Linked DNA regions of Danio rerio. The protein of the gene in region 4 purifies or fractionates together with the protein of the main gene of each other region. This does not show direct contact. Links are inferred from orthologs where the notes say so. Each region holds a gene or a part of one and is shown on either strand. Other genes may lie near its edges.

Region 1 (8,446 bases), on a different chromosome or scaffold from region 4:
CTGGCGATTCGAACAAGCATGCATGGTTCAAGTAGCTTCAATGACGCTTTTGCGCCTGGCGTTTTGCGCGTTGGTGTGCACGATCACATTGGCACCCTTTATTTAGTCACAAGGTGTTAAACGTTGACAGAAAACGTGAGCAAAAAGTGTCCCGGTGTGCACGGGCCTTGACAGTCGGATAAGTTTAAAGTAAAAGAACACATTGTCAGAATGCATTTTCTTGAGAATAACTTTTTCTAAATATTGTAATAGGTATATTTTAAGACCATGCATTTTATACTAACGTATGCTATTTCTAAATGGTATTTAAATGTAGGGATGCAACGATTATAAATTATGGGTGTGCGATTATAGTCTAAGAAAAAATCACGGTTACACAGTTATCACGATTATTTGCATTCATTGATTTAAACCCCACTAGTTTAAAACTAAAATTATTTTAAATTTGGTTTTGTAGTTCCGGCCTAAATAAATATTTGTTGTCCCATTTACATTGTCAGGTCTTGATCCCAAATTCCGATTTGTTGCCTATATCTGATTTGTTAGCCTGTCTGTTTACACGTTGTTTTAATTGTGACCCATATCCAATTCATGCGTTTACACTTCCCATACAATTTACGATGTCGCGCATGCATAAAGGCAGATTCTAGCATCTGTGCCATGATGATATGTACAATCAATTTATAAATAATTTTTTGTTTGCGTCTAACCATCCACACAAAATAGTCTTATTATTTTGTTGCAGTCGTAACATGGATATTTTCTCAAGTTGTCATTAAACGTGGAGCTAACAAATGATGCCGATGCCGAGTGTTATCAGCCGAGCTCGGGCTCAAGGGCAGCCAAGCTCAGGCCAATTACTACCTGCTATCTGGGACTAGCCACGATGGAAGAAATTGTCTTGTTTTTAGCTCTGCGAAATATGCGAAGTGTAGTAAAATCAGTGAATGGTTCAGTTCAGTCCAGAGTTACCCCTACACAGTTTATGTAATGCTATGGCCCTGGTGTGTGTGTGTGTGTGTAGTTGAAGATGTAGCTTTTGCCTGTGCGCGCAGTGCTGCGCACTGGTGTTGGAGAGAATAAAGTTGTTCTATGTGAAGCCGCAGTGAGTGTATTAATAGCGACAAAAAGCAAAAGTTACAACACAAAGTTTGCCCAACTTTAAAATTATTTTGAGGCGGAGGTGGGAAAGGGCCGTCATCGGAGCTTGCACTTATGGTTCATGTGCTGTATATCCTCCACCATTCAGAGGAATGTATGGGTAACGAGAGAGGTCTCAGGTCTGGTAGGAGCAAATTGTGGCGACTGACCACTTTCCTCCTCTGTTTCCTCTGATGTTGTTTACCGCGCCGTCATCTCCACATACGCTCTTCCTTATGTTATTAAACCGCGGAGAAGCACCACATTGTTGCAAGTTTAATGATGTACAGAATGAAACGCCTCAATAAATCCGATCTGCCTGTTTACATAACAGTCGCATTGTCACATATCCGATCTATATCTGATTTATTTCCACATATGAAGGAGGCCTGAAACCGATCTCTGAATATCCGAATGCATGCGTTTTTTTTGTGTTTACATGGTCATAGAACAGATCCGATCTGTGTCACATATTGGCAAAAAAAATCGGAATTGGGTCACATTTAACTGGCAGTGTAAACGGGGCCTAACAGACCAGCACAGACAAACTAAAATGTTTACTCTATAGACGAATTACCATGTTTGTTAACATTCAGGATGCGCGCACAGGGAGGTGGCAGAAAAAACCGGGAGCGCTAGCATTTACAGCGAGGGAATGACATCCGATGCAGTACAGAGTCTGTTGTTGTCTTAGAAATAAAATATATCGATTGCACATTATATATATTATTTACATAATGCTTTCAGCATATTATAACAGCTCGTCACCCAGTGATAAGCACAGTGATTCGGCAAAATTAACGTTAAAGTGAGCGGCGTTCGTCTGACGGGTTCATTTGGATAGCACCCTCCCAATGAATATTGGATAAGACAAAATAACTAAGCATCCAGTCCCAAACATACAATCTCATTGAAGCTCCAAGTGATTTTACAAGATAGAAGTTAAAGGTGTACAAGTCTTTGGATGCCAACAGTGTTCTGTGTGGTCATGTGCAAGAAATAATGCTCCATGATGACCAGATTTAACACTATGTAGAGCTAAAAACCGAGGTTCTGCATAGCCAAAGACAAGGAAAGAAGACGGAGTTAACGTTATACAAGCTAAGCCCCGTGTAATTAATCACCAACACGCAAAACGACTGCATTCTGACAACGAACTGCACCTGTACGGCAGGATATGTGAACCTACACATAGAGGTAAAGTTGGTTTTATATTCGCACATTCAGACTTTCTCCTTAATAATATAATTTCATAAAAGTATTATCTGCCAAAATCTTATCAGCAGCCAATGACTATCACAGTACAACATTGTTCACAGTCAAATAAACAGTGTTAATGTTGTTTTCAAGTCACACTTGCAGGTTATTTCAAACCGAATATTCAAAGTGTCATGGTAATATAGGGAGTGTGTCACAAGTTGTCACTGAATGAATGTGTGAATATGAAACCAAGTTTACCTCAGTAACTTACACTTTCACGTTTCATTCTTAGCATTCAGTGTCGGCAGTTTAATTCACCTTTGTAACAGTTTTTGCTGAAATCATTTCTGCAATCAAAAACGAGTAATGTGTCTGATTCAGCATAGCGTCAACTTACCTGATATGACATGACAACTGCAGAGTACAGCATTTCTAATTAGGTTGTCACTTCATTCAGCTCCCTTTTAGCCAAAACGTCTGCAGTTAGCATTAAAGCAGTGTGGTGTATGATAAAAGTTACGTTTTCTATTTTTTTTTTTAATTGGCATCTAATTTGGCATCTTACCGCACAACATGACATCTTTCCTATTGCAGCCTGACTTTTTTGCAACCAGGAACCCGCGTGACGTCATGTATGACGTAGGTTGGTAATTGGTCTATTGTTCTCTGTTTAAAAGCCACTTTTGTTCATGTAGTTAAGAAGAATTTAAAGGTGCTGTATGTAACTTTTTGAATTTTTTACAGCGTAAAAATACAATACATTTGCAGAAATTAAAAAAAACATGCTAAGTGAACTTGTTTTTTTTTTTTTTCTGAAAAACAATGCTTAAGTAAGATATTCTGCTCTGAAAATGTGCATTACGTCCCAGAAAGTCGGTCTTTGTTTTGGTCTTTTAAACCGCCCAATTCCAGTTTAGCTTAAGTACTTAATATTTAATTTATGTATTATTTTAAAAAGTTAGAATTGAGTAGATGGTTTTCATTAAGTAATAAACAATAGCTAAAATGTAAAGTAAAGTGTGTGAATTTGAGTTGAACATGCAGAGGAAGAATAAAATAAAATAGAAAGAAACACTTTTCACGTGGAGTATAAGATGAAATGTAAGGTATAGAGGGCCCTTGCAAAATTGGTGAGTCCTGAAGTAAAAAGTTTTAGCCCTGGCCTAAGTGATGTTTAATAAAATAAAAAAAACAACAACTATTTTTCAAACATAATTTTAAATGTTACTTTGAAGGTACAATCCTTAGCATCAGCACATCAAGTAATAAACTTGATTATATTTTAAACGCTCCACAACTCTAATAAACTCACACACACTCCATGTATAACATACATGTCGTATAGGGATCGCGTTCACTCGAAGTTCAACCGTGTGACGCGCATGCACACAAAGGGCAGTGCAATTTGTCCTGGGGGTCAGATTTCAGAACCACCGAGTCCAAATTGATCCACACACGGTTGCATTTTAGCAACCAATCTGATAGTGTTGACCTGCACTAAGAAATTGGCTATATAAACATATATTCTTCACAATATCAGTGAGTTAATTGTTTATGCTCAGAATAAGGTAAAAGACTTACTGAAAACACATTCCATTAAAAAAAAAAACTGTTTGCTTTAAAAGTATTAAACCCAAGGTGTCATCAATGAAATTTGCACGCAACACTTCAGTGTTTCGCAGTCATACAGTATGCCTTTACCTGGAAACATTACGTTAAACAAACCATGTGATTTTACCCTACGACTTATCAACATACCCAGTGGGCCTTACTGAGTCAGTGGCGTGCAGCTAGATGATTTTTTGCCGCATGAATGATAGAAATGCGGTAACGGCTTCTGTAGTGTGTGTTTATACCTCGACGGCATCTGTAAACAAAGGACTTACCATGCCGTTGTTCCAGTTAACGTTATTGTTCTCTGACTTGTAACTTGAAGGCCAGGGTGACTTGGTTTCAGGCTGCATTTGCTGATGCATGATCCACGAAGCCTCACCTCTGCCTCTGTCGCTGCCAGCTGAATCGAAAGCCATTCCTTGTAACGCCACTAACTCTTTTTGCCTTAATTTAATTTCTTTCAATCACAGATTTACTTAAAAGAGACTATTTTGTCGCCACCACGTTTCACAAGATGCTGCAGCTAGATGCGTCAACGGTATTTATTTGCAATATTTGTGTTACACTGGTGAAGCACGGCACTGTCTTTCATTTCAACTCACCAGCCGACCCCTTAACTGACAGCTCAACTGGCCAATAGGAAACATGTACGCTGTTCACGCCACCTCCATGTACGGCCGGAAGTTAAAAATAATAAATATTTCATTACAATGCAATTACCGAGCAACAATAATTATTGTGGGGGTTAGGTTTAGGGTTCGGGTGGGCGTTAATAAAATGCAATCAATTGGTAATTCGATATATTTATAAAACAATTTTTACATTTCCGGGTTCCTAAGCAGGGGATTTCGTCATAGTTGGTGAACTTGGAGCGCAACGTATGAGAGAGTACCATTTAAGATTTTACAAAAATTTTACCCTGTTAAGCTTTTTAACCAGATTTATTGAAGACATGGATGTCAATTGTTCAGTTTTATACTCAGAAACAGTACCTCATATTTTCTGCCATTGTTTGTATACAAAATGGTTATGGAAGTGCTGTCAAATTTTGGAAGTGTTGAAATTTTCTTTTACTGTATGAATATGTTATTTTTGTTTTGTTTTTCAACTATGATAAGAAGTTGGAAATTGAAGCTTAAGTTATTAATCTTCTGATTATACTTACAAAGTTTCATATCCATCGATGTAAATTTAGCAATCATAAACCTGTTTTGGGTACTTAAATAACTAAATAATTATAAAAATACAATTAAGGAGAGTGAAAAAAAAAAAAAAAGCTGTTAAAACCATGTATTTGTTTGACACTTATAAGTTATTGTGAGATGGCCTAGCATTATTTATTTGTAATATTATTATTTTTTCTGTTGTTTTATTTTGTTTAACCTATTGAGTTTTTGTATCTATATAATTTTTTTATACTTTTCATTCTTTGTATACCTCTGGCATTGTTTTGTATGTATCCTTCTTGCATTAACAATAAAAAAACGAATGAGAGAGTATTACAAAAATGTTTGCATTCTAATTTGCTTAAATAATAAAATAACTTCACGATATTTATACGACATTCAGAACAAAATAAACGAGGCAAAAACCAATAATAAAAACAATAACAAATATATATATATATACATACAGCCCATACAGTAAGTCTTCTGTTTCAACACTAATAAACGTGGACAATGATTTATAGTTTAATAATTTATAATGATTGTAATTTCACTGTTCTGTGCTTTGCATTTATCTTTTGTGGTTCAGTCAATTCGAGAGAAAGGTTTGTGAACGGGTTGCTTTTAAAGATCCGACTCAAACAGATTAGTAAATGGGATAGCAAACAAATTGTGTAATCTAACCACTATCATCTGTGATTTTTTTTTTTAATTTTATTTGCATAACGAGAACAATAGCATACAAAAAAATTAGGAATACAATGCTTACATTTTTGTACAGTAAAGGAACATCAGTAGAAAAAAAACACAAACACAAAAGAAAATAAAAATAAGGGGATATAGAAATTACAAAAAAAAAATCGCATAAGAAAAAGATTTTAAAATTGCATACATTGTTATAGCTTTTTAATTTATTTTTTTTTATTTTATTTATTTTGTGTGTGTGTCTTTTAGGGTTTCGGTATAATTGGACTATTTTTGTTCCCATATATTATCATTAAATTAATAAACAAATTTTGCTCCAAAGTTTTATTATTAATATTGTACATCAAAATAATCATCTATGATATCGAACTATAGTCGTCGTTGCAGTTCACGTAAATACACTATCAAAAATACGAAGGGACCTGAACGTTTATATATCTATGGACCTGAACCATTGGTAACCGAAATGGTTAAATTTGCACCGGAAGCGTTTGGTTCTGCGTAACATCCTGTGGAATAAAGGATACGCGTTTGAAATAGTCCATGGCTTGATACTTTGTGTTTAAAAAACAATTCCCAAATGTCAGCATAATGAATTACATGCCAGGGACCGCGAGCCTCATCGAGGACATCGATAGTAAGTTAATTGCGAAATAAGAAAATGTGTTCGAGTGAATGAACACCGGCGAGACTGTTTTTTTTTTTTGTAATGATTTTTGTAAAAGTCATGTTAGTGGTAAACCGACAAGTATAACCTGAACGCTCTGTTCTATTGTTACGCAAGCTTAACTTTATTTTATGTAGCCTCATCTAGTTATTTAGTTCGATTAATTTACCTTAATGCAGGTGTTTTAGGTGATCACGTGATGAAATTGACATATCTTCGAGTTAAAAGGTATTCCTGTGATTGACAATGTTTTCATTTCACAGAAAAACACCTTGTACTGCTTCGAGATGGAAGAACGTTAATTGGCATCCTCAGAAGTATAGATCAGTTTGGTATGTAAAGAGGCCGTTAATTTAGCCTATTTTTATTATCACTTCAAAATATTAAGTGGTGTTCAGGTGGAGGTCTTAACGTTAAATAAAATTCTGTTCAATGTGTAAAATGTCTGGTTGCTGTTTGTCAGCCCATACCTGTATTCAAAATGTTTTTATTTTGTTTGTTTGTTTTTCCCAATGGGGTCATGTTTGGAATGGTATGAAAAAAAGAGTTGTGAGCTTTTTTATTTTCTTTATTATTAGCAAAACTACAATTATATTTTAACACGTTACTTTTTTTTCTTCCACAGCCAATCTAGTTTTGCATCAGACAGTTGAACGTATCCATGTAGGTAAAAAATTTGGTGACATACCTCGAGGGATATTTGTCGTCAGAGGAGAAAATGTTGTCTTGCTTGGAGAAGTAGTAAGTACAGCTTTTCATCATTCTGCAACTTTTTGAGTGATTTGTAAAGCATGTTTCCAATAATAAAAACGATAGCAAGCCATTTTTAGCATTAATGCCCTCGTGTTTTTGTAGTTTTGACCCATCATAGTTACAGTTAAGATGTGGACATCATGTATAACGGTCTCCAGCATCATCTAGTATAGAGGTAAAGTTGGTTTTAGATTCGGATAGTCAGACATTTTCCTTAATAGTATAATTTTAGAAAAGTATTCTTTGCCAGTTCTAATTAGGGAAATCATATAAGCAGCAAATTAATATCAAAGTACAACATTGTTCAAAGTCAAATAGATTGTGTTAATGTTGTTTTGAAGTCATACTTGCATGCTAATTCCAATCGAATATTTAAAGTAACATGGTAAACAATATAGGGACTTCTAAATGAACGAATGTGCGAATATAAAACCAACTTTACCTGTATTCATCTAGTTACTACGGAGCCGTTTTGACAGGAGCAGTGATGTTCATGACGCATCCAAGCATTTATATGTCAAAATTAATTTTATTTGTCTTACAAATGCTACAAACAAACACAGTCAAAAAACTGTTTCCCCGCTACTCCTGTCAGCTGATCACCCATCACCTGTGAGCCCTTGCGTAAGCAGGTGAGCTGACGTGACATATAGGTGGAGTTAATCTATATCACTAAACCACTCGATCAGTGACACAGAATAATACTTTATAATATTATTATTCTTATTCAATCATGCAACAAAGAAAATATAAATATATATTAATATCACAAATGGCTCCAACATCATGTGATAATGAATAGTCATAATATGCACTCAAGAAGTCTACAACATTATTTTGACTAGCTGTAATTTTCAAGATATCTGCAATGCTGTTGTGATTCGTCATATTCTTCCATTTGGCTTCAATTGAAAAATATTTTCGGGAATCTACAAATGAGTACAAATTTCAATTTTACCTATCACTGATTTGTATACTAGCCTAATTCTAGATAAAGATTTAAAATTAGCATTTAGCTTGTTTTATTTAAGTTGGCAATCTCCAACTGTAATAACAATTGTAAAAAAAAAAAAAAAAAAACAATGGACCCTTTTCACCAGGGCCGGATTGGGACTCATTTTCAGCCCTGGAGTTTCAAGCCAGACCGGCCCACCTCAGTTCACAACTGACTATATTAAAATAAGGTCATTTCCAATTCAGT
Region 2 (8,380 bases), on a different chromosome or scaffold from region 4:
TTCCAGTCATCTCCAGGCCTGATACATGGGAAGGGAAAGAAAAAGTTAAATACCAAATCATCTCTAAGAAAGCAGCACACAGCGGCATTTGCAAGGACTTACTTGATGATAGTGTTGGCTGTGGGTACAGGCTGGGAGTTGCCATTGTTGACTGTGCTAGAGGCTTTGACCTGGGCAGGCTGTGTTGTTTGGGACCCCCCTCCACCTCCACCGGGACCCCCTGCTGGCTTCACAGAACCTCGCATTTGGCCGTTCTGATTGGACAGTCCCAGAATCACTGGGTTCTCCATTCTGGCTGTACTCATGACTTAAATATTCTCTCTTGAAACAGTGAGCGACAAACAACAGTGGAGATAATACTTTCTCTTGATGGTCTTGCAAAAAAATTAATTTGCAAGTCGTCCTTCCCACAGCTTTCTCAGTGTCCAAAGCGCACAAAAGCAAAAAAAAAAAAAAAAAAAAAGTTCAAGCAAAATTTTTTTACCAGTTCCTTGTTCCTCAATATAAAAGTCTCTTGTGGAACATCTCAATATGAATGTCACTCAAGCAACAGGTCACAGATGCTATAAGCAGGAAGATTAGCTTCAATTATCCTTCCATTAATGAGTGAATTTCTCCTCTGCAAAAGGAAAGTTTCACAGACAAGGGGCCAGGAAGCCAGTGTTAGTCTTTTCAATTGTTCTGTCCATTCCCTTCTCTCAAATTAGTTAACATGGGCGATTTCAAATGTTTTCCACCTGTGTGAGAGAGAGAAGCATTATAAACGTGAAACGTTAGACCAAACCACTACAAGATTTCAGTCAATAAAAACACTGGTTACTGGTTCCAATTTTTTTTTCAGTTAGAGGATTTTCCAAAAAAAAAAAAAAAAAAAAACTGGCATCATGCCACATCTTACAGTAGCAAAGAGAGCTTAAATAAAATAAAAAAGCATGCAAATACAAAAAAATGCCAGCAAATTCAGAAAAGATCACAAAAAAATTGTGCTTTTTGATAGTGCGGTGAGAAATTGCAGTGATGAAATTCATTTTTCATTTTCATAAGTTTGCATTATAAGAAAATGCAGTGCGTTTTATTCATTTGTTTGCATTGTGAGAAAATTAAGTGAATTTTTTAAAAAATTTGCGTTGTGAGGATTTGCATAACGTGCTGTAAAATGGATGAATAGGGCTAGGCAATTAATCGAAATCAACATTCACTAATAATCGATCTAATTTTTCCAGGACAATTTTCACAAGTACTTTCCCTACGTGTCAGGTGACCCTGCTTTGTTAAAGGCTGTGGCTAATTTCTACTTCTGTAGCCAAATATGACCTTTGGTCAAGTAGGACGATGGACTCATTCTTGAGCCTTACTTTGCACTACATTGACGAGGATTGGAAGCTGTGCCAGAAATGCCTTTAGACAGCACATAAAACTTTGAGGGCAAATAAATAAAATATTTGTTGAATTTTCTAAATGGTTAGTTTTAGATTTTGATTTTAGGCCAAATGGACCAGCCCTACAGATGAAGATCTTTTCTTATTTTGCTGGTGTTGTTTTGTGTTTTTATCTTATATATATATATATATATATATATATATATATATATATATATATATATATATATATATATATATATATATATATATATATATATATATATATATATATATATATATATATATATGTATAAATAAATATACACACACACACACAAGTTTTAAGATTTCATAGTGGCTAATATTATGACACCATATGCAAATTGGTAAACAGAGATTTTAAAAATAAATCGCTTTGTACAAGATCTGAGATAATTCCCAAATCACTACAAATTCAAAAATTTTGATCCATCAAGTTTGTACATGTTAACATTTTGTAGCAAAATCTCAATATGCAAAACTTGCTTAATGCCATCCGGACATTAACTTAAAAATATTTCTTCATCTGAACCATTTATGAAACTTAAGGAGAAGAGAAGGATGAACAATGAGTATATAAAAATTGCTTTATTGGTGTCTATGTAAACGTGATTAAGACAATATTCTGATTAAGAGTCCATGCAAATAGCGATAAATTAATCTGATTAAGGTCATTATCAAATTAAACAAATAAGATTAAGACATGGAGTATGCCAATTTTAGTCACATTACTAAACTGCAGTAGACATGTAAACACCTTGAATGAAACTATTACCATCATGTGGGATTTGCTGCATTTTGTGACTGGACATTTCATACACACAGCTGTTTGACACTATTCTCTGTACCTACCGAGTCAGTGAGGAATCACAGACACCTGCATCATGAAATGTGGAGTTTATGTTTCCAATACTGCGTGCGTTATCAAATTCCAATAAAACGACCCTCTTACAGCATTAAATACTCATCCAATATTTCATTTGTCAGGGGAGGCATGCATGAAATGTTCCTGAGTGAAAGTGCCAAACTGCAGTTAAAGTCGACAAATTTAAAACACCGGAAATTACATGATATCCCAGAGGAAATGTGAATAGCGTGGCGATTCTATGAAGTTAATTGAATTGTGCTACAACATGTAAAACAGGATCATGAAAAGAACATACAAATTGCAACTTATGCGAACACCTTAATCATATTACTGTCTTATTCAGATTAAGGCAAATAATTTAATTACTAATGTAAACTTAGTCATTGAGTGCTTAGATCAAGCAATGTCGACGAGGCATGGGACGATAAGTTTAAGGTATACCACGGTTTGGAAAAGCCAAGGTTTTAAAACCGCAAAAGTTTCCTACTATACCATTCCTAAGGTATGTCCAAGTTTTGTTTTTTGTTGTTGTTGGTTTTTTAGGACAACAGTATTTCCAGCAGAAAGGAATCAAAAAAAAAATCCAAAGATGCTGTTTTAAATTGTAAGGAAATCTGTGTTTTTTTAAACAAATGAAGACAGCATTAGTCAAAGGCTGTGTCCGAACCGCCTACTACTCAGTAGGTACTGCTTTTGAATTTAAATGTACTACTCGGCAGTTACAAACGTACGTTCTATACAGTATGAATGTGAAAAGTATGGACAGAATTCGGACGTACTATATCCACCATTTTGTCATGGTCACGTGACCTACCTGCATCAGTTGCGTTGCTTAACTTCCATTTATGAATTCTCTCACGTGGCATTATGGGACAGCGCAGCGTGCATAGGATGCGCACTCCGGAATCTCACCGGAAGTAGCAAGTCATCCGGGTACTTCTCGCAAACTGATTTTCGAACTCTATGAATTTGGACATACTACTCGACTCGCATACTGATTTTAGCATACCATATAGTATGGAAGTATACGGTTTCGGACGCAGCCAATGATTCATTTGAATTATTTAGCCTAACATGTTTACCATTACAAAATATATCAAATGTTTCTCTAAATAAAATAAATTGTGTTGAAAGGGGAGAAAAAAAAAGTTAGTTTTTTTACCCAGACATTTAATTAGAATATATTTTAAAAGGAGTAATCACAATATCGTAAAACAGAGATATTTTTATCCGAGGTTATCATACCATCAGAATCTTATACCAGCCCATGCCTAATGTCGACCAAGCAAGACATCGTATGAGGTCTAATGTGAAACTTTGTGATGCAAGATGAGATCAGGGTTAAGGTTGGGTTTGATAAAAGGTTCCATCATTTTAATTTTCTTTTAACAAAAAGTGTGCTAATTGCTCTGTGCATCTTTACCACAAACTAGCACTAACACTTATACTTCTACAATTACCTGCAATATTACAGCATCAAAAGAGTTAACACACACTCATGCAGAAATTACAGGGACAAGCTCTGGTAGAAGTGTCAAGATAAAAAAGTCTCTTGAATTTGTAACCAATTACAACTTTAATTCATTTTCAGATCTATGAACAGACCATAAACGTTATTAAATGTCTAATGTGAGTTCAATAATGATGGCAGCAGCAGCTGGCACAATGTCAACACGATAGGCCTCATTGTAAAACAGCCTCGCGTTTACCTAAAGCATTTAAAAATGACAAACTTTAATAAATGTGACTTCAGTGTTGTTATGCATCTATAAAAACAGGTGAAGTTGCACGTTGACTACACAGCTGTGGAGCTTAAAATTAGACATAACAAATGTTTGGTTACCTTAAGTTAAGCGAAAGCGTATAGTTCATTGAACTCATTCCACGAATACTAAAAAACAATGTTATGTTATACGATATAACCAGTGTCACGTTGTAGTTATTAAGCTAAAATGTACATCTTAAAGGTTAACCGTATTGATTCCACATAACGTGAAACTCGGCGTCACGCAACAAACGTTAATGCTAATGTTTAGCTACGCAGCTACCGCTGACGGCTTCAAGCCAGACAGATTTTAATAGTCGGATACATTTTAAATCTTTAGCAAACACGGTTATCATAATACGATGGAATGTGGCTTTTATTATAAGCAAATCTAAATATATAAGCTGTTAGGAAGGAAATATTAGCAGTGCTCAAGCTCGTTAGCTTTTGGCTTGCACACAGGCCGCACGCGTAACCTCAGATTCACAATCACCAGTATAAAGAACTAAACGCTCGTTTCATAAACGCTAAAACAGAAGCAAGAACATATTTAACTCTTAACTAAATCAGCTAACACAAACACTGCGAGCCAAAAAGACATCACAAATTTGTAAACACCAAGACACAAAGAAACCCACAAAACCGACTTAATCCCCAGAACACAACACGTAGATTTGACGTTCTGCAAACTTACCAAACGTGGCAGAGAATATCTTTCAGTGTGTTTGTGTTTGTGAATTATAGGTGTAGAGTTGTGACATATTTCGGGGTGTAAAGCGAGTGTGTAAGATGGCTTCCAGTCATCTTTAAACCCTCCCATAATCAGTCACATGAGACAGAGCCCTGTCTAATCCACACAAACGCAACGCATATGACGATTGTTTAGAAAACGCAATTTAATGCTGCCGTCATTTCAAATGCGTTGTTAAATATATATATATTAAGAATACGTTAATTAAGCTCTTAGAATTTCGTTTTATTTATGTTTTATTTATTTGTAAGCGGTTGAGGTCGTCACAATTACACATTTTGCTTTAAAAACGTCCTAATTACATAGCAGCGCAGTTTAATTCCTACCTGAGCTTGTTGTAGTCTTGGCTGAAGCACGGCATGTGAAGGGTGTCATTTAATTAGCTCAACGTGTTTATACTTGACTAATTGGTGTAAGGATCCATGTGGTTTAGACATACTGTTTTTTTATTTGGGTATTTAAAAACATATTTTATCTTTAATAATAATGCTTATTTTATTATTGTTGAAGAGGCTTGAAGTGCACAAAGTAGGAATCTGTTGATAGGCACGCCTGAGGTGTTTGGAGGTAGTTAATGAATTGCCTTGAGTAGTTTAATGACTAATTAGACTGACTTATGTGGCTAGAAAGTAGTTTTTTAACGTAACGTAACATTTTTGTGCATTAGTATGTCTGTTATTTATTTATTTTTCGTTGCGAAAAAACATAAATTTTGAGCACGATGACGAACGTGTCCTTAAGTTTGACATAATATACATTAAACCTAATAATTCATCAATTTTCTCTCAGCTTAGTCCATTTATTCATGAGAGGTTGCCACAGCGGAATGAACCGCCAACTTATCCAGCATATGTTTTTTTTTTTTTTTTTACAGCAGATGCCCAGCTTCAACCCAGTACTGGGAAACATCCATACACACTCATACACTGCAGCCAATTAAGTTTATACAATTCACCTAAATGCAGTTACATCCAAATATATTTAGATGTGTTGTTGGACAGGAAACGTAAGTGGACTGAGTCTATAAGGAAAAGGCAACAGAGAATGTACTTCTTAAAGAAACGATTGTCTTTTATTGTTGACAACACATCGTTGATCATATTTTCTAGTGTTTTTATTGAAATTATTGCAACATTTTGTGTGATCTATTGGTATGGAAATGCTTCTGAGGCCCAGAAGAGGTCACTGGGAAAGGTGGTAACAACAGCCAGTAAGTTCTTGGGTATAAAACAAAAGGGCATTAATAGTATATACAAAGAAAGTGTATTAAATAAGGCTATCATGATTGTCTATGATGAGAGACATCCTTTATCAAACACCTTTCAATTGTTACTATCAGTTTGTCGATATTGTGTTTACAGATGTGTGAGAAATAGGACAAAATGATCATTTATAGGGAGCGCGAGGCACAAAGTAATGCAGGGTAACGTAACATGGAGTTGTAAGGTATTTGCTCAGGGTTATTTATGAGGTGCCGTGTAGGATTTAAATCAAACTTTGCTTATCAACACATACATAAAACACGTGTATATACACCTATAAATTACTCGCATATACACCCATACTACTGGATGTTCAAAACAACATGAATGAAACTTGTGTATATACATATAAACTTGACACATGAATACACCCACATACACACGCACATACATATAAACTCGATCCTCACATAAACACTCACATTAACACATGCACATACATATAAACTTGCTGCATGCAAACACACCTATACACACTCGCATATACAGATAAACTCGATTCTCGCATAAATATCCACATTTATATGCACATACATATAAACTCGCAGCATGCAAACACACCTATACATAATCGCATATACATATAAACTCGGTCTATGCAAATACACCCTCAACAACACATGCACATACACAAACTCACTGCATGCAAACACACCTATACTGGCATATAGCCCCAATGTCTAAACTCAGTGCGTGTATAAACACCCAAAATAACACTCGCGCAAACATACAAAAAATAAATAAATAAATAAGATTCACAAACGTTTATCAGGAATCTGGTTATTGCAAAGCTTATGAAATAGAAATAATGTGATTAATAGAGGGATTAAATATGTTAAATTATGAACATATGTTAAATAAAATATTAGTCTATATAAATAGACTATTCAAAATAAGAAATATTTTTATTTAAAACCTTTTCATTTAATTAGGTAATTACATACACAAATATAAATGGACAGATAGAGCCCTTAAAGGATGTTCAAAAAGCAACCAGAATTATAAATATAAATGTACACTCAAAGTGAACTCCTCTTTTCTATTGCAAATGTTAATGTTAATGCCTATAGTCTTCTTGTTTTGTTTTTTAAAATTTTTATAATTATTATGCTTTTTATATGTTTTTACAATGTGGGTGTCAAAATTGCAAGATTTTTGGTATCATTTTGATTGTTAATTATTCACCATATACAAAAAAAAAAAAAACCCTGCTGATTAAAAGTCTCTGCTCATCATGTTGGTCAAGTTAACCCCCATGGAAAAGCTACATATATATTATCTGGATACTCCTTTTGTGTTTAATAACTACTACTTATATTTTTACAGCAGCTGGCATCCAGCATTTTGGTGCATTAGCCTGTTTATTGGGGAAAACCACTTAAGTGCATTCCTGCCCCCTACTGGACATAAGTGTGTATCATAACCCTTGACGAATAGTGACACCAATAATAAAACAAACATTAAAAACTAATATTAGACAAACATATTTTATTCAAAATGATTACTTAAGCATCCTTATATTTATTAAACCATAATAACATTTCCAATAATTTAATTGCATAATAAACCTTTAATTTTGCAGGAGCATTCCTTAGCATTATCTTTTTATTTATTTTTTTTAGAATTAGCATAATCTATTTTCATAATTCAACAGATGTAATTCTTCTATTAATCACATTATTTCTGTTTCTTAAAGTTTGCAATAACCTGATTCATGACAAAAAATAATCTTGTTCATTACACTCAAAGGACTTTTACGTTGAAATTAAACTACTTCCTTTTAAAGTGAAATAACTTCCTTTTACTGTGAAAATTCATGCATACACACATATGAAATCACTTACATATATGTATATACACAACTAACTGTATATATGTTTGAGAATTTTATTTTGTATGTTTGCACAAGTGTCATTTGGGTGATTATGCACACATCAAGTTTATATTCTTATGTGAGAGTTTATGGGTGTATATGCATAGATCAAGTTTATATGTATATGGAAGTGTGTATAGGTGTGTTTGCATGCAGCAAGTATATATGTATATGCAAGTGTGTATAGGTGTGTTTGCATGCAGCAAGTATATATGTATATGCGAGTGTGTATAGGTGTGTTTGCATGCAGCAAGTTTATATGTATATGCATGTGTTAATGTGAGTGTTTATGTGAGGATCGAGTTTATATGTATGTGCGTGGGTATGTGGGTGTATTCATGCGTCAAGTTTATATGTATATACACAAGTTTCATCTATGTTGTTTTGAACATCCAGTAGTATGGGTGTATATGCGAGTAATTTATAGGTGTATATACACGTGTTTTATGTATGTGTTGATA
Region 3 (7,722 bases), on a different chromosome or scaffold from region 4:
TAGATAAGACTTTCACCAGTCAATTCGAACCGCACGTCATTAAAAAGCGTAGCAAATAACGTCAATTCTGACGCTTTTCAGAACACACTTCAGCAGACACACAAATCTTATATACTAAAACAAAAAAACTGTTATATTGTCATGCAGCACAAGCATGTTATCGGGAAAGAGAAGAGCGTAACATCCACCACGTAAACCATGGGTAACCAACCCTGTTCCTGGAGAGCGACCTTCCTGCAGAATTCAGTCCCAACCCTGATCAAACACACCTGAACCAATTAATAGTACCTAAAGCAGCACTAAAAAATTACAAACAGGTGTGTTTGGTCAGGGTTGCAACTAATATCTGCAGGAAGGTAGCTCTTCAGGAACAGGGTTGGTGACCCCTGACGTAAACAATATAAACTACAAACCTATTGCAAATTTCACGAGCAGAATTAGGTGTAAATTTTAAGTAACTTACCCAACACTGATCACGAGCATAAATCACACCATGGAAATTACATTAAGATGGCTATTGATTTAAAAAAAAAACTAAACTAAAAGAATGTGGCCAAAAAATAACTTTTCTGTCATAAACTACTGTAAAACAACATGTTAAAAAGGATAAAAAATAAATAAAACCCTGCGAACAGATTAAATACAGGAATGGAGAAAAGAGCACTCTTACTATCAGCTGTCAGTCAGTATTCGCTATTTTTTTTCTGGTCATTGCAGCTTCGCCGTGTGCATTGTAAATGCAGTCAATCGGATAAAAGTCACTTATAAAAGATTGTGTAAACAGGTCATCAAAAAAGTTGGAGTCACAAAATCTGAATTGACCACAAGGTCTGCAGTGTAAATGCAGCCATAAGGAAAATGAAACAAGTTCTCAGTAGATACACACAACAATATAGTATATTGTATAATATACACACCAGAAGTGTAAGAAGTATCAATCGTGAGTGATTTACATATTAAGTTAATGCAAAGATGTGAACAGACATCCTGCGATACGATATGCGCGAATGAGGCACCGCAATGACGAGATTCAAGCTAATGAAGCGGTGCGAGTTAAGTGTTTTGCGCGATTGATCCTCTTAACGCGTGTATCGCATGTTTCCCGTGAAACGTTCGAGTTCAAAAATCTGAACTTCAGCAGACATTCGCGCTGCGTTAACCAATCAGGAACTTGCTCTTGTGGGGGCATGATTATGACATAGCACCCATTGTTGACGTTCCGGGGGAAAATCCTCCTGCCGTCTGGTGTGAACACAGCATTAAGACTTTTTTTTTCTCCTAAAGTATTCCACATAGATGCTTGAAATTTGATCAAAAGGGACAGTGATCATTTTATTTGATTTTTTAAAATTTTCTTACAAAAAAGAAAACTGTGATAATCTTCAACAACATTTAACCGTTTTTTTTAAACAAATAAAAATGCAGTTTTAGAGGCTGATTTCATAAAAATGGTAGCAACAGCAAACTATTGAATGGTTGAAATGAAAATTGAACTTTGAATGTCATTAGTTATGCATTTTGACCTGTTCCATGTAATTAATGCAAAATTAATGATCAATTAACCAAAAAAAGTTTATTTCATTTTTTATTTTTAAATATGATCAAACATATTATGTTAAGTCTAAAGTATGCACAGAGGTTGACTCCACATTTAAAATGATACTATTTAAAATGCTATTGAATTTTCCTACAGAACACCATTGCTCTCTGCAATAAAGCATGTCTCCATTGATGGTATATTCATGTTATGATATACTACATATCATATACACATTATAAGAATCATAATAAAGAAACATTGTAACTTAGAATGTAGTTCCATCCATTTTGTTTTCAGTTAAGAATTCAATTTAGAACAATAAACAGGAAGCTTTTGTAAAACTGCTCCTGCAGGGGAAAAAAGTAAAAGTTGTGACAGGTTTCCTTTTAAAGACAGCCTCCATGTCCTTGATTTAAATTGCTTAAATCACATTCCTGACATACAGCAAAGGTTACACTATCATTCGGTCAATTTGACTGAAATCATGTAATGTTACAGCTCCTAATTAATGACCAGTCAACCACTGAGACATTTATTTCACAGTTGCCGCTAATGTTAATTTAAATCTTGACCCTGATTTTAGTCCACACACCAGATCTTCTATTAAAGCTCCTAAATTGAAATTCAAGGACTGCAAAGCTTCCTTAAGTGCTTATATAACATGACAAAACAAAAAAATATAAAAGGTTAAGTGCCTCAAAGTTAAGTTTTTCAGATGTTGCCCTTCATGCAGTGCGTCATAAAGCTGATTGTAATGTTAAAGGGTTGTCAAGTAGTCAAAAATTTATATTAATAAATAAAAATATATATAAAATAAATAAAAATTTGAGTTGTCAAATTCTAAACTGCCTGAAATGAGTAGTCAGTAATTCAAAGTTTATTGTAGTTCTACAATAAAATGTACATAATGCCAGACTTTGACTAGCTCTCCAATGCTGCAGCTGAAGCCTGGAAGAGTTTGGCTTGTGTTGTGGACATGTCAAGAAAATGTTTAGATCTGCGCTACAGAAAATTTGTAGACTCCAGAATGTAAAGGTTTACCTCTGCTCTGCACTTGCATCTTGACTGTCGTTCTGAGTCAGGTGATATGTGCGTCTATGGTAGGGGGAGGAAATGTGCCTGTCTTTTATTTCCTCCCTAGAGCTGGAAGAAAACAAGCATTATAGTTTTCCACTTTCAAGTATTACAACTGTTTAAAACGTATTATACATAACAAACAGATCATAAAACCTCGAATGATCATTAATAAATGCAAAATAATATTACATTATTAATAAATAAATAATAATAATTATTATTAATATTATTAACAGATAAGTATAAAGTCATAAGTTAGATACAATTATACTTTGTGTGCATATACAGCTATAAAAACAATTAAGAAACTACTTAAAGATTCTCAGTTTCTTTGAAATTATTAGGAATGTGTTGAAGTAAAATGTCAATATTTCTTAATTTCAAATAAATATTAGCATTGGGAACATTATGTTGTTAAAAATGATTAGTGGGGGCTGTTCCATAAACCAAGCTTAGAGAAAAAGCCAGCCTTGTTTTGTTAAGTCAGGTTTATTAATGGTGGATTCCGTTTCATAAATCAAATTCATGATAGTTCAGACTCAGTTCCTCTGGCAAATTATGCTGGGAAACTAGCCTGGCCTGGGGCAGGTTAACTCTCAGGCTAACGCCCTATTCACACGAGGCGTCAGCTTCAACTCTTCCCATTCACTTTTTATGAATTTGCTCAACTTTAAGTGCCAAAAGAAGCGTCAGCAAATCAGATCGCTGTATGCAAATACACCAGCTCAGACAGTGGCCTATTGCTGACTAATTTCATTGGCTGACTTCAGACATGCCCTCTGTCAAACGTTCATGCTGAAGCCCCTCATGAATGGGGCGCAAGTCTTTATTTCATGCTTAATCGAAGTAATGTTAACATTCACTTGTGATAATTTAATGCCATTTTATTCTACTTAAGTGCCTAATAATGATATTAATAATAAAACAAATAATAATAATAAAAAAACTTTATAGTCACTTAATAGTAAATATCTACCCATTTATCTACACACACGCATACACGCACGCACGCACGCACACCTACACCAAATATCTTTAAGAATAGAACAACATGTACATATAAATTCAAACAAGTTATTCCAAATGAATCAAATACAAAATAAATTGGACTGATCTTCAGTATATTTTTGTTAGATTAGTTCCAAATTTTGCTTTGGTACTGAATAATATAATGTATATGGACAAACATATTATTATAAAGCATCCTGTAGAAAATATTAATTTAAACCAGAGATCTGTGAGGGGTGTACTTAGCTATATAAAATCAAAATTATACAAAAAAAAAAAACAATGACAGATATAAAAGTAGGTTACATAAATAAATAGATACTTTCCCGCGGGACATGGGAAACAAGTGTCAAAGGTAAAGCAGCAAATTGCAGAGTTTTCAGAGCAAATTAAAAATCCCAATGATCCATGCTCGACCATGTTACAGGACAGCAACGTGCATGAGCAGTTATCTAGATTATTTAAGCTGAACTCCGATTAGTTAGATAAAATGATCTTCAACTTGCTGTTATGGAACAAATTTAACCATCTGCATTTATTTAAGCTCAAAGAAGTCAGGCTTTTGACTTTAACCCCCAATTTTCTAAATGACTTTTATGAAACAGCCCTCTGGTAAGAAACACAATTTTTTAGACCCGTTTCAATCTTGACTTTGTACCTATTGTTCCATGATTATTGTTTTTAATAATTATAATCTACAATTCTGTCATTTGTCATACTACTTTTTTGGTGGTGGATCTCTGTCGTAAATGGGTGGAATCTAAACGGTTTAATAAATGAAAAACAAAGAAAGTAAACCCTAACCCGTGTTTCCTCTAGGATTTTTTCCAGCTGTGGCGGCAGGCCTTTTGCACAGATCTACCTGTGGCGTTATTTCAATGACAAATGTTGTGAGTGCGGTATTACAAGTTGAGATCGCATTTATGTAATACAAACATGCAAATCTCTTTACTTGCACGCTGATTTTATCCGTGCACACTTCTTGCACACCCCCTCGAATATACGCGGCTGAACAGCAGTTTTTATTGTGAGCTCTCAAATAAACGCTGCTGAAGTGCAATTTAGTGCGTTCATGTAACTAGTTTATATAACATTTATTAGGTCATTTAATATTATTTAACATTAATTATTATTTAGTAACATTTATTAGGTCTTCAACATTTATTAGAACCTGCAGAGCGGCACTGAAGCATCCTGAAGTAAAGTGAAGCGGCTATAAACTCCAGCAAGATAAAGTCATTGTATGCAGAGCCATAGACCTTTATCTATAAATATAATAATGGAAACTGTGTTCATCTTAACTGAAAGCTATGTCGTGTTTGCTGGCCTCACGCATCACGCACCTGTCAGTCAGTTTGTCACTTAAAAGGGGTAAACAAATTACGCACAGCACTACTATGGTTAGAGAAAAGTTTGCGCTGTTATAATTCACTTACCTTTTAATATGTTTTCGTGTGATTATTACCCGCTATAAAAAAAAACGACTGAATGTTTTGAATGAGAAGCTGTAATGTATGAATGTAAAGGATGAATTTTGGTGTGGCGCCCCGCCATGGAAGAACCAATGTAGTGAAAACCATGCTAACATCTGTTTGTTATTTCAGTTAAGTTTAAACCGTGGTATCGTGTGGTCTAAAATGAACATATGTCTAAAAAAATTGGCATCTCTTTTGAAAAGTACTAAAAAATACTTTAGAAAAACTGCTAAAATTACTAAAATTGTATTAAATATGAAAAATGTCATTAATTGTTAAATGCATAAGCATAAATAAGACAAAATATACTGTAACATACCCACACAAAAATAAAATTACATATATTATAGTAAAGCACAGGTACTCACCAGTCTCCTAAACCGTTGTCTCGCAGGCTGTTGCGCGTCTCTCGCGTGATATCAGGAGCAGCAGGCCATGCGTGGTTCACACTGCTGTCAGAACAGGATCCTCCGGCTGCTCCGGCGTTTTCCTGTGAGAGAGCAGTCTCCAGCAGGGATGGTGTGTTACTGAGTCTCTGCTCTCCATCCACAGACGCTGCACCCAATTCAAGAGGCAACAAACTGTGCTCAGCGCTGCTCCGGGCCCTTGGAGATAGCAGGTGGAGAATTGATGCGGCTGATGCCATGCTGTCAGAGTGCAGGATGGGGCCCGAATCAGCATTGGCACCGGACAGTCCCCTCTGCAGCGTCTCGGAGGCAATCTCAGGTATGTCCTGGGACATTGCAGTAGAGGCAGATGAGATGACATCCGGTGAGCGAGCTCTTGTTGGAGACGCCTGTGGGACAACCATGGGATCTATTGCCTGGAGATCCAGAGAGAGAGGAGGGTTTGGAGGGGAAACCTGCGGAGGAGGAGATGGGAAATAAGGGAGGGGGAGTCGGTGAGAATAAGGAGCAGCTTCGCAGAGCAGAGAGGCTTCTTGAAGGAGGGATGAAGAAAGAACCAGTGGGGGAGCGAAAGCCTAACCAGATTGGGATTTTAAATGGAAAAGTGGAGATAGAGGGATGCCAGATAAACAGAAGAATTGGTAAATGATTTGGAATCAAATTTGAAGGATTGACAGTTTATATTGTGAGTGAGGAAGTCTGATCAGCTTCTCTGACTATTCCATAAAAAAACCAGATCAAATTTACAACATTCATTAAATGTCACATATATTCAGCGATTATATATGTATATTATTATTAATTTAATTACAACAACAAAAAGACATCATCAGCAATAAATAATACATAAGCTAAAAATCTAAAACAGTTTAGGTTTACTTTTGGTAAAAAAAGTTAGCCTTTCTGAAGGATTCACATTTAAAAATATTTCTTTAAAATCTTTACAGATAAAAATTGTAAAAAATAGGGCATAATAAAAATGTGTTTAACAGTTAGGTTTCTGTTGCTCCTTTTAGTAAATGTTCAGTAAATATAATATTATTATTCAATGGTACACTTGGACAACACTTGCTTATGAAATAACAAAGCTCTTATTTAAAAGTAAAAACATTACTAAACATGCCACTTTTTTGTAACAACAATAAACTCTATTATCACTAACTGAATTAAAGGGATAATTCAAGCAATCTTTTGTATTTAAGTTTACTCAGCCTCTACTGGCACTAAATGCAGATTAAGATTTTTTTTCCTGTGAAACACAACAAAAAATATTTTAAAGAAAGCTGGAAATCAAACCCAAAGGTTTTGGTAAATGGTGAGCCACCTTTTCCTTTTGAGTGAACTATAAATCGAATGCATCCTTGATTAATAACGACATACATTTCAAAAACCATACCCAAACTTTTATAAAGTACTGTGTTGGTACTACAGGGAGTGTGTAAAGTAGTGGTTCTTAACCCTGTTCCTGGAGATCTACCTTTCTGCAGAGTTTAGCTCAGGGGTGTCCAAACTTTTTGGGCCGAGGGCCAGATGCAAAAAAACAAACGTTGTCGCGGGCCAAATTTTACATACATCACACAGACACGCATATATATATATATATATATATATATATATATATATATATATATATATATATATATATATATATATATATATATATATATATATATATATATATATATATATATATATACAGTTGAAGTCAGAATTGTTAGCCCCCCTAAATTATTAGCCCCCATTTATTTTGTCCCCAATTTCTGTTTAACGGAGAGATTTTTTTCCACACATTTCTAAACATATTAGTTTTAGTAACTCATTTCTAATAACTGATTTATTTTATCTTTGCCATGATGACAGTAAATAATATTTGACTAGATATTTTTAAGACACTTTTATACAGCTTAAAGTGACATTTAAAGGCTTAACTAGGTTAATAAAGTTAACTAGTCAAGTTAAGGTATTAGGCAAGTTATTTTATAACAATGGTTTGTTCTGAAGACTTAAGGGGCTAATAATTTTGACCTTAAAATGGTTCATAAAAAATTTAAACCGCTTTTTATTCTAGTCGAAATAAAACAAAAGTCTTTCTCCAAAAGAAAAAATATTATCAGACATACTGTAAAAATGTCCTTGCTCTGTTAAACATCATTTGGGAAATATTTAAAAAAGAAGAAATAAATCAAAGAGGGGCTAATAATTCAGACTTCAACTG
Region 4 (8,191 bases):
GATCAAGCTGTGGCGTGTCCATAAACAGCCGATCGAGCAGCAAGCCAACAAGTTCATCAACTACATATATGCATTTTCCTCCAAAATAATGAGTGGTTTTGTTTCATGACATTTGTTGATCTTCCTCCAAAGGCGATTTCAGTGCGCATAGTGTGTTTAAAAATGGAAGGGTTCGGGTACACCCCCGCGTCATGCCCATGATAATGCCAACACACTCATCATACAGCCCTCAACGCATCCATATGGCACACACACATAGTTTCCAAACAGAGCGAAGACAAATAAAGAAATTACCTTGATGGTTTTCAAGGGTGTCCTCCGGTATGTACATGTTTTTGCTTTCATTTACCATATATGTGGTCCAGCTTTATCCGAAGGTGAATGAAGAAAAGGTTGTAAAAAAGGCAAGGGGGAGAAAAAACAACCCAGGGGAAAGAAATGAAAGAAAAGGGGGGAAGAAAAAAAATGAAAAACGCAAAGCGTAAGATATTCCTCCTCTTGCGGCTTAGTTAATATTACCTGATCCCCATTATGGAGCTAAAGATCAGGAAAGGATAATCGCAGGAGCCACCTAAGAAAACGAACCAGTGCATCTTTGGAACATCCGGGCCCTACCTAAGGAAACATGATAGCAGTGCCGCTGGCTGATAATCGATAATCAAATCGGCGCGATTCGCTCGCAAACTGATCGAAAAGGATGCTGCAACAGCCAGAAGAAGAAGAAAAAAAGCGGGCGTAGTTTCAGAGACCGTTTCAGAAAGCGCAGCAAAAGGTAAAAGGTGTGTATATTCCAGATCTCACGGGCTTCAATCTTCACATATGATCGATTCCATCTGAGATGTCCCACAACAGGCGTAGTTTGCGTCGCGCCTCGTTAGGAAATAGAGTGCAGAATCGGCCGCGTCCAGTCCATATTGGAGAGAAAGGGGAGTAGTCAGTCTGTGGCCCTGCGGAGAGAGAGCGCACACCACCAGCCTCTCTGCAATGATCTGACGACCAAACCCCCTCCCCTGTAGACTCCCTGACTGCTTCCAGATGTGACTGCGCTAGAAAGGAGAATAAATCCTCCACGCTTTTCCACACGGGCTGTATCTCTTGAGGGAGAGAGAGCAAACTTGGGAAGATCGAGGCAAGTCAGCTCCAATACAGTGAGGAGATTTGAGTTCTTTTACAGTCCGGAATTGTTGCAGAAGATGATTTGCACCACAACCAATCTGGCATAAATACGCTCACAGTCATGGCTCTGAGCACCATGTTTAGACATTATTATCCACTTCCTGCTGGCATGCCACTTCTGAGGTGAATGCTGAGTCCCCCAGCAGCAGGTGTCAGGATGATTTTTCCCTTCAGCTAAGGTTTAACCGACCTGATCTTCCCATGGCAGGACACACTGTATCCTGAGGACTGGCAGGCTCTGATAAAAGGGGACGACTGGGGCCTGGGAATTTCTGCAAGATGACGGAGAATCTTTCATCAGCAAACGGTCTAGTCTGAATTTAGCAGGCCCTTCCTCGGTCCCTCCCTCCGGCCATGAGAAAACTTCACATGTCCCAAGAGACATCCTCTGCCCCCAGATTATCCTTCTCTCTCTCACTCTCGCTCAGAACTGCATATGCTGAATATTCAATCAGTCAGAAGAAGCATGCATGAGGTTGTAAGAGACACACAGAACTGCAGGTTTTCAGATCTTCCTCTGTTTGAACGAAGAACCAACTCTCCCAATTCACAGACCTCCAATCTACGGCCAAGTTCTTTGATTGAATTTTGCTTTGGACAAAAGTTCATCATAGAGGTCAGCGATTTCCCATCAGCATCCCCAAATAATTGATTAACTTTGGTATGTTTATACAAAGCACAGAGGAAATGTTCGCAATGTGTTTCTCGGTGCCACCCTGTAATAAAATGAGTTTCTGGGAACTCAGGGGTCCAAAAAAACATGGTCATCGGTACATAAGGCAAACTGGTTACCGTGCCTCTTCAAAGATTATAAAAATCCTCTTCCAGTGCCACATTTCAAATGTCAAGACGAATCATGTATCTGTCTGCACACTTAATATGATAAAAGCAGTGATTGCTCTGCAGCCACATACAAGATTCCTTTACTAATGCTTTAATTACAGACTACTAAACTAATTTACTAGGCTTAACTGAAGATATACATAATTTTTTCTTGTCTACTAGAATCTTGATCAGTTTAAACTGAGCGTGTAATCAATATAAAAGTTTAAGATCTAATGTAGGCTAAATGTTGGTTAAAACTTTTCTGCAGTGTTTAATTAGCTAAAACATATAGATGTGTACATAACATCACGATCACTTTAACAGAATTAGAAAAAAAATCTGCATGGGCTGCTGTGCTCTCTCAGAAATAGGTTGGAAATGATGCTGAACAAGTTAATTAAACACGAGTATTTAGGTAATGATGACCTCTAGTGGTACCTTTATAAAGTGCAGTTGAGTAAATTATCTTGAGAGGAAAGGATTTTCAATCTTGGCTCCGGTGCCAATGGGGCAGTGCAATGAGCTTTGTGGAAATGCTAAAGAGAAAAAAAGCATAGAAAAATGTAGCCTGTGTGCGTGTGTGGAAATATATATATATAAACAGAAAAACAAATGCATAGTAAAGCAAACACAACACGTAGATAATACAAAATAATAATAATACAATGCCTAACATTTTAAATAAACAAAATAAATTTATAATCATATTTATAAATAAATAAATATAGACAGACAGACAGACAGACAGATAGAGAGACAGTGTAACAATATGTTATACATTTATATTTCTTTCATGGTTTAAAATGGTCCTTATGGGGAAAACCTGTATAGGTGTCTTTTACATTTAGGATAGAGGTCCCACTAAAGACGATAATGATGACATCTAAAAGACTGGCAACCCCTATTTCAATTTCAAGGGGCAGACTTCACTAGCGAAGTAAGCAGTCGCTTACAGGGAATTATGGGGCCCTGAAAAATGACAATGTCTATAACCATTACGATTTTAACAACATTACTTCTTTTTAAAACCGGGGGCCCCATGAATAGTGCAACGTTCCTCCGTACAGCAAATGTAAAAACTAATCATAAATATGTCAAGTAAACTGTACATACAGTATAGTTTGTGAACTTGTGTGTGAGTGAGTTTATTGTATTTAATTTTACATTAAGAGGATTAAGGAAGATTAAAGGAGTTTAAAACATATTTTGAAAAAAAATCTTTAGAGAATGAGAGTGTTTTGAGTTTCATCGCTAGGGCCCCACACCTGAAATTGCTTAGAGCCCCAAGTCCGCCCCTGCTCAATGGGGTACAACAGTACATTTAGATTTATAGATTTATGTAGGCTAGTTGCAGGTGGGAAATGTGCCATTTTAATAATCACAGTAACATTACAGCGGTTGGACTTTACAAATGCAGCAGGGCCTCTGGACTGTAACATTTGTTTTTGGAAAGAATACGCAAACAATTAGGCAACAAAAACTAAACTACAAATCATCGTCTTTACCGAGGCAGCAATAGTGCAGGAGTGCAAGAATTTCGTATCCTCAAGGGTTCCCCTGGGTGCAGAAAGTCTGCAGCGTCAGCTCACTGCTTTAGCGTGATGTAAACGAACGTGCTGGCGTTCTCAGGTGAGCTCGAGCCAGCTGGGGGCTCATCCGTAACTCTGTCTCGACTATTTTCCCCTTTGCGCGCGCTCGGCGATTAGCTCGTTCTGTCTTCTTGACAGCGCAAACATGGCGATGACGGCAGCGGGACGAGAGTTAGACAAGTGAAATAAAGCCTTATATTCTTGTTTACTGCTTTGCACATCCCTGAAAACATACACAAGGAGACCGGATCGTTAAATAAGCTGTTTAAGTGTTGTTTTTACAGAGTTAAATTTTGCTTTTTAAAGGTATTTTAGGATTTGTGCCGTATTTTAAGTGGAGGTAAGTTTAACTCCAGTACGATGTATAAAAGAGCAACCGCAGCTCACCAAGGCCTTATTTAGTTCACTCGTAAACTTATGAATGTATGATGTATACCATTTTTTAAAAAGTAAAAACACTATTAATGCAGGGTTAGGGATATTAACAAACCGCTCAAGCGCAGTGTTAAACTTGTGTACGATGTCCCGCAGCGCTTGTGCTATGAACATCAACGGTGACCTAACCGGTCAAAGTGACCAGAATAAATACAGACGAGGATGAGGTGGACTCTTTAGACTCGGGCCAGTATATAACCACTCGTTATACCATAGTAACTACATGTAAGGGTTAGCTTGTCAACCACATTTTAGTGAATGCGAGTTTAAGAAATGTATTTTTATGCACACACATTTTTACTCATTGTATAAATTAATATATAAATGAATGCTTATAACTAAGAATAACGAATTTAGTTACATTTTGTAATCTTGCAAAGGTCTGACGCATTAATTTCTGTACACAGTAGACAACATTTGAAGTGGATCAAAACCTTTCATCAAAGTTATCCCAAAACTATTGAACAACACCCACATATAGATGATGGATGGATGGATGGATAGATAGATAGATAGATAGATAGATAAAACAATACTATATTTGTTTGGTAAACATGCAAACTGAACCAAAAGACCCATACAATAGAGGTGTACAGTAATTACATGTTAATAAAGAGTAATTACATCTTAATAAAGAGCATAAGTTTTTATTTACAGAAGCGAGCTGGAGCCATGACTGCAAGCACAGGTGGCGGTGGGAGCTGTTTATCAATGAGTCTGTCTGCTCTGAAGAGACTCGACCCCTACATCAGCAGCATCACAGACCTAGCCAGCCAAGTAGCACTCTACACCTTTAACAACAACACCAATGAATGGGTAAACAACAAGATCATCTCCCTTAACATAACATCTTAGTGGATAGAGATATTTATTTCTACTGCTACAAACATAATATTATTGTTTTAAATTGTAATATTATTTTTCTCCGACTTAAACATAAATAGATCAATGTATGTTTTTGTTGTGGTTTTCTGTAGGAAAAGACAAATGTGGAGGGAACTCTGTTTGTCTATAGCAGGTTTGTTTGATTCTTACATGTTTTTAACAGTGAAGCAACACCCACATGTACTGTATGGCCCTAAATCAGAGCCCTAGAGATCTAATGTGGCTCTAAGGGTCAGAGAAATAACCTGCACAATATTTCTCAGCATTTAGATGTACCACTGTTGTCTGCTCTTACACTGCACAACACCCACATGCAGTTTTGTAGGTCCTTCAGACTCATAAGCTTTAGTTTCCCACTCATGCTACGAGTTTTAACGTCAGTTCTCTGTGTATCAGGCTTGCCTCCCCCAGGCATGGCTTTACCATCCTCAATCGCTTGAGTATGGACAACCTGACTGAACCAATCACTAAGGACTTGGATTTCCAGCTGCAGCATCCATTTCTCCTGTACAGGAACGCTCGCTGTAAGTCTGTCTTTTTGTTGAACGAGCTCAAAGTCATCAGAGTGAAATATTTTAGACTAAACCAAAAGACTGCAAAAATATTGCTAAGCCCAAAGTATGCATGTATAGTTGATTTAAATGAAGAAATCCTTACATAATACAGTGTGTCAAAATATATGTGATGTGAGCGAGAGAGAGAGAGAGAGATGGCTGGGTGATAAGAAAATATTATCACATATCAATGATGTCTCCTGAGCAGGCTAATGTTGATTATGACATTAAATTATTGGGTGATAATCAGCATTATTGGGTTAAAAAAATAAGATTGTCAAGTAAATGTATTCTATCTAGATGATATTTATTTACCTTTACATTTTTCACAAATGTTTATGGTAAAGCATGTCAGCGATATATATTTTAATGAAGCACATTATTTCAGAAATGCAGTTACCTAAACTTATTTAATTTAGCCCTATAAATACAGTTACAATAAAATATAGACATTATAGATAATATATTGACCAATTAAGAAAGTAAGTGAAGTTTTACAAACTAATTTTGAGAGAAGCACGTTATATCAAACTGACTATAAATAGCCCGACTAACATTACTCCCTCATTTTAATTTTTTGAAGAATCCCCCCATGCCCCCCATCTTCCCCTTTCCTCCTGTACCAAGAGAAGCTCTCAAGAACTACCTGATCTCGTACCTCCTTACATGCTAACTGACCAGGAGGGAGCCCTGGGCTCAATTATCTCCGAGCTCAGGGTTCTCTCTCGGGACAGCATGCCAAACCTGCTAACACTTGAAATGACAAATGGGAAAGACGAGAAAAAAGTTTAATGGCATAAAGAAAAAGCATGGACATAAATTCAGCCTTAGAATTGTAAATGTGTTTATTTTATTAAAAATATAATTAAAATGAATGGACCTGAATTTAGCTGATTTATTGTCAAATTAAATTTAACAAAAGGACATTCAGGCTCGTTATCTTTTGTAATCAGTTAATCAGGAAAACAAATGCACTTCTCTGAAGTTAAAGCTTTACGACGATGCTACAAACTCTTTCAGAAGGACTGCTTGCATGCAGGCACACAAAACCTTTTTTGGCTTACAATGGAAATTTTTTAATATTCCTCCATCAATTACATTCTCCCTGGGCTGGCGCATGCAGCTTTAGACAAATTTATCATGAGGTAGTCAAGATGGCAAGATAAAGAGTGATTTAATTATTATTATTTGGTCATATTAATAAGCTATCACTGATGTCATTTAAAATTCACTTTGCTCTATTTCGCCTGCAGGAACAGACTGACTCACATCTAAAATGTTTTTAAAACAGAAAAAAACATCATCCAGACATCTAAAAAATAGATTGTGACTATTGCTTACAGTGATGATGTTAGTTTATATCCGGATACGAGCTTTAGAAAGGAATGCATAAGTGAAAGAGAAAGTGAACAAGAGAAATGATGAGGTGCAGGGTCAACATATATTACGCACTTATTTGTTTGCACCACAGGCTATACATTATCTAAATAGACTATATAATATAAAGGAAACTTGCTTGTGCACAATTTTAGTCAATAATAAAATGTATCTTAATGATTGTGTTATGTAGGGGTAGACAAGGGGGTTCACTATAAAGACACATTTAATATGTGCTGGGCGTCCTCCAAAAAGATAAGCAGCTCAGCATCCGTCTGCTCTGCCCTAATAGTGGCAGTGAAATAGTGATATAGTTTTTTTGGTTGTTCAAATGAGATCACCAGACATTTTTATTTATTTATTTATTTATTTCCAAATAGGTCTAGGGATCGTGCTTGCATCACCATTTACAACAAAGGGTAATGTGTGTTTAATTTGGAATGCTCAGAGGTTGATTGTCTGGTGAGAAAGTAGTCTTTTACTAATGTTCAGATTTATGAGTGTTTAAGGCCCAGGTAAACTTTGTTTTCAGTTTTCTGCTCCATCTCATGCACAGTTTAGTGAGCAACGCTTTCAAAATTAATTGACTGTGAATGTGGAAGCACATTAAATCACTGGCCCCTCAATGCACTAGACTGCAAGAACAAAAAAAAAATCAGGCTGCACACAGATGGTGTTCACAGACATCAGCCGACTGTGCTAATGACAAAAGTTTGACCACCTTCAAATGTGACTGATATAAATGAATTTTGACATGTATTAAGGAGGATCAATGTCAAACAGAAACACATGTTAATAACCAAGGTGTAGATGGGCAGGGAGCAGAGGGAGTGCATCCATCCAAAAACTTCAGAGCTTAATTGCAGTAAAAGTGTGTCTAGATTGAAAAAGCTGTCATACTGGTGAGTGTATGTGTGTGTGAGAGAACGAGAGATCAGAGATCGCTGGCAGGCGGGCCTGTTTGAGAGGCCCCAGAGCCACAGTGCCTTATATGGTGCAGAGAAGTGTGTGTTTCTCTTTCAGTTTCCTGCCAGCATCATAGACCCGACCAACCAATCCTGATTAGATAACAACCCTCTCTAACACGCATACATGCACAGGCTTCCAAGGAAATTCATGATAAGGAGACCTGCAAATAGAGTGCATGGAGAAAAGCTTTAGGCTTTCAAAGTAGAGAAACTACTTTAGGCTTATTGAACAAATCATTGTAGATCCTGATGTTTCAGCCAGTCCAATAATGAGCTTTGACCGTGAAATTCTGTGCATCTGCTGACGGTCTGATGGGAAACTTTGTGCTGGCTACTTTGATGTAGGTGAGATTTTACAGGCAGACTATTTCACTGATTTAAT

The links.
Region 1: the proteins of dcp1b (region 4) and bag4 purify together in Homo sapiens (affinity purification with mass spectrometry; 3 studies listed by BioGRID and IntAct, counting the BioPlex papers as one, with this or other methods). This does not show direct contact. The link is inferred for Danio rerio from reciprocal best matches to the Homo sapiens genes DCP1B and BAG4.
Region 2: the proteins of dcp1b (region 4) and ddx6 purify together in Homo sapiens (affinity purification with mass spectrometry; 6 studies listed by BioGRID and IntAct, counting the BioPlex papers as one, with this or other methods). This does not show direct contact. The link is inferred for Danio rerio from reciprocal best matches to the Homo sapiens genes DCP1B and DDX6.
Region 3: the proteins of dcp1b (region 4) and edc4 purify together in Homo sapiens (affinity purification with mass spectrometry; 3 studies listed by BioGRID and IntAct, with this or other methods). This does not show direct contact. The link is inferred for Danio rerio from reciprocal best matches to the Homo sapiens genes DCP1B and EDC4.

The regions. Positions count from the first base shown.
Region 1 is NC_133183.1:54,297,055-54,305,500, forward strand, and holds the start of bag4 (BAG family molecular chaperone regulator 4), read right to left. Parts: upstream 4,514-8,446; 5' UTR 4,371-4,513; coding exon 4,227-4,370; intron 1-4,226. UniProt on the Homo sapiens protein: Inhibits the chaperone activity of HSP70/HSC70 by promoting substrate release. Prevents constitutive TNFRSF1A signaling. Negative regulator of PRKN translocation to damaged mitochondria.
Region 2 is NC_133193.1:46,837,121-46,845,500, forward strand, and holds the start of ddx6 (probable ATP-dependent RNA helicase DDX6), read right to left. Parts: upstream 5,152-8,380; 5' UTR 5,111-5,151; intron 4,816-5,110; exon of another isoform or gene 4,728-4,815; intron 738-4,727; 5' UTR 306-737; coding exon 103-305; intron 19-102; coding exon 1-18.
Region 3 is NC_133193.1:23,281,397-23,289,118, forward strand, and holds part of edc4 (enhancer of mRNA-decapping protein 4), read right to left. Parts: intron 6,083-7,722; coding exon 5,469-6,082; intron 2,684-5,468; coding exon 2,582-2,683; intron 1-2,581. UniProt on the Homo sapiens protein: In the process of mRNA degradation, seems to play a role in mRNA decapping. Component of a complex containing DCP2 and DCP1A which functions in decapping of ARE-containing mRNAs. Promotes complex formation between DCP1A and DCP2.
Region 4 is NC_133179.1:20,905,268-20,913,458, reverse strand, and holds the start of dcp1b (mRNA-decapping enzyme 1B), read left to right. Parts: upstream 1-3,723; 5' UTR 3,724-3,930; intron 3,931-4,669; 5' UTR 4,670-4,697; coding exon 4,698-4,841; intron 4,842-5,002; coding exon 5,003-5,043; intron 5,044-5,306; coding exon 5,307-5,434; intron 5,435-7,905; exon of another isoform or gene 7,906-8,154; intron 8,155-8,191. UniProt on the Homo sapiens protein: May play a role in the degradation of mRNAs, both in normal mRNA turnover and in nonsense-mediated mRNA decay. May remove the 7-methyl guanine cap structure from mRNA molecules, yielding a 5'-phosphorylated mRNA fragment and 7m-GDP.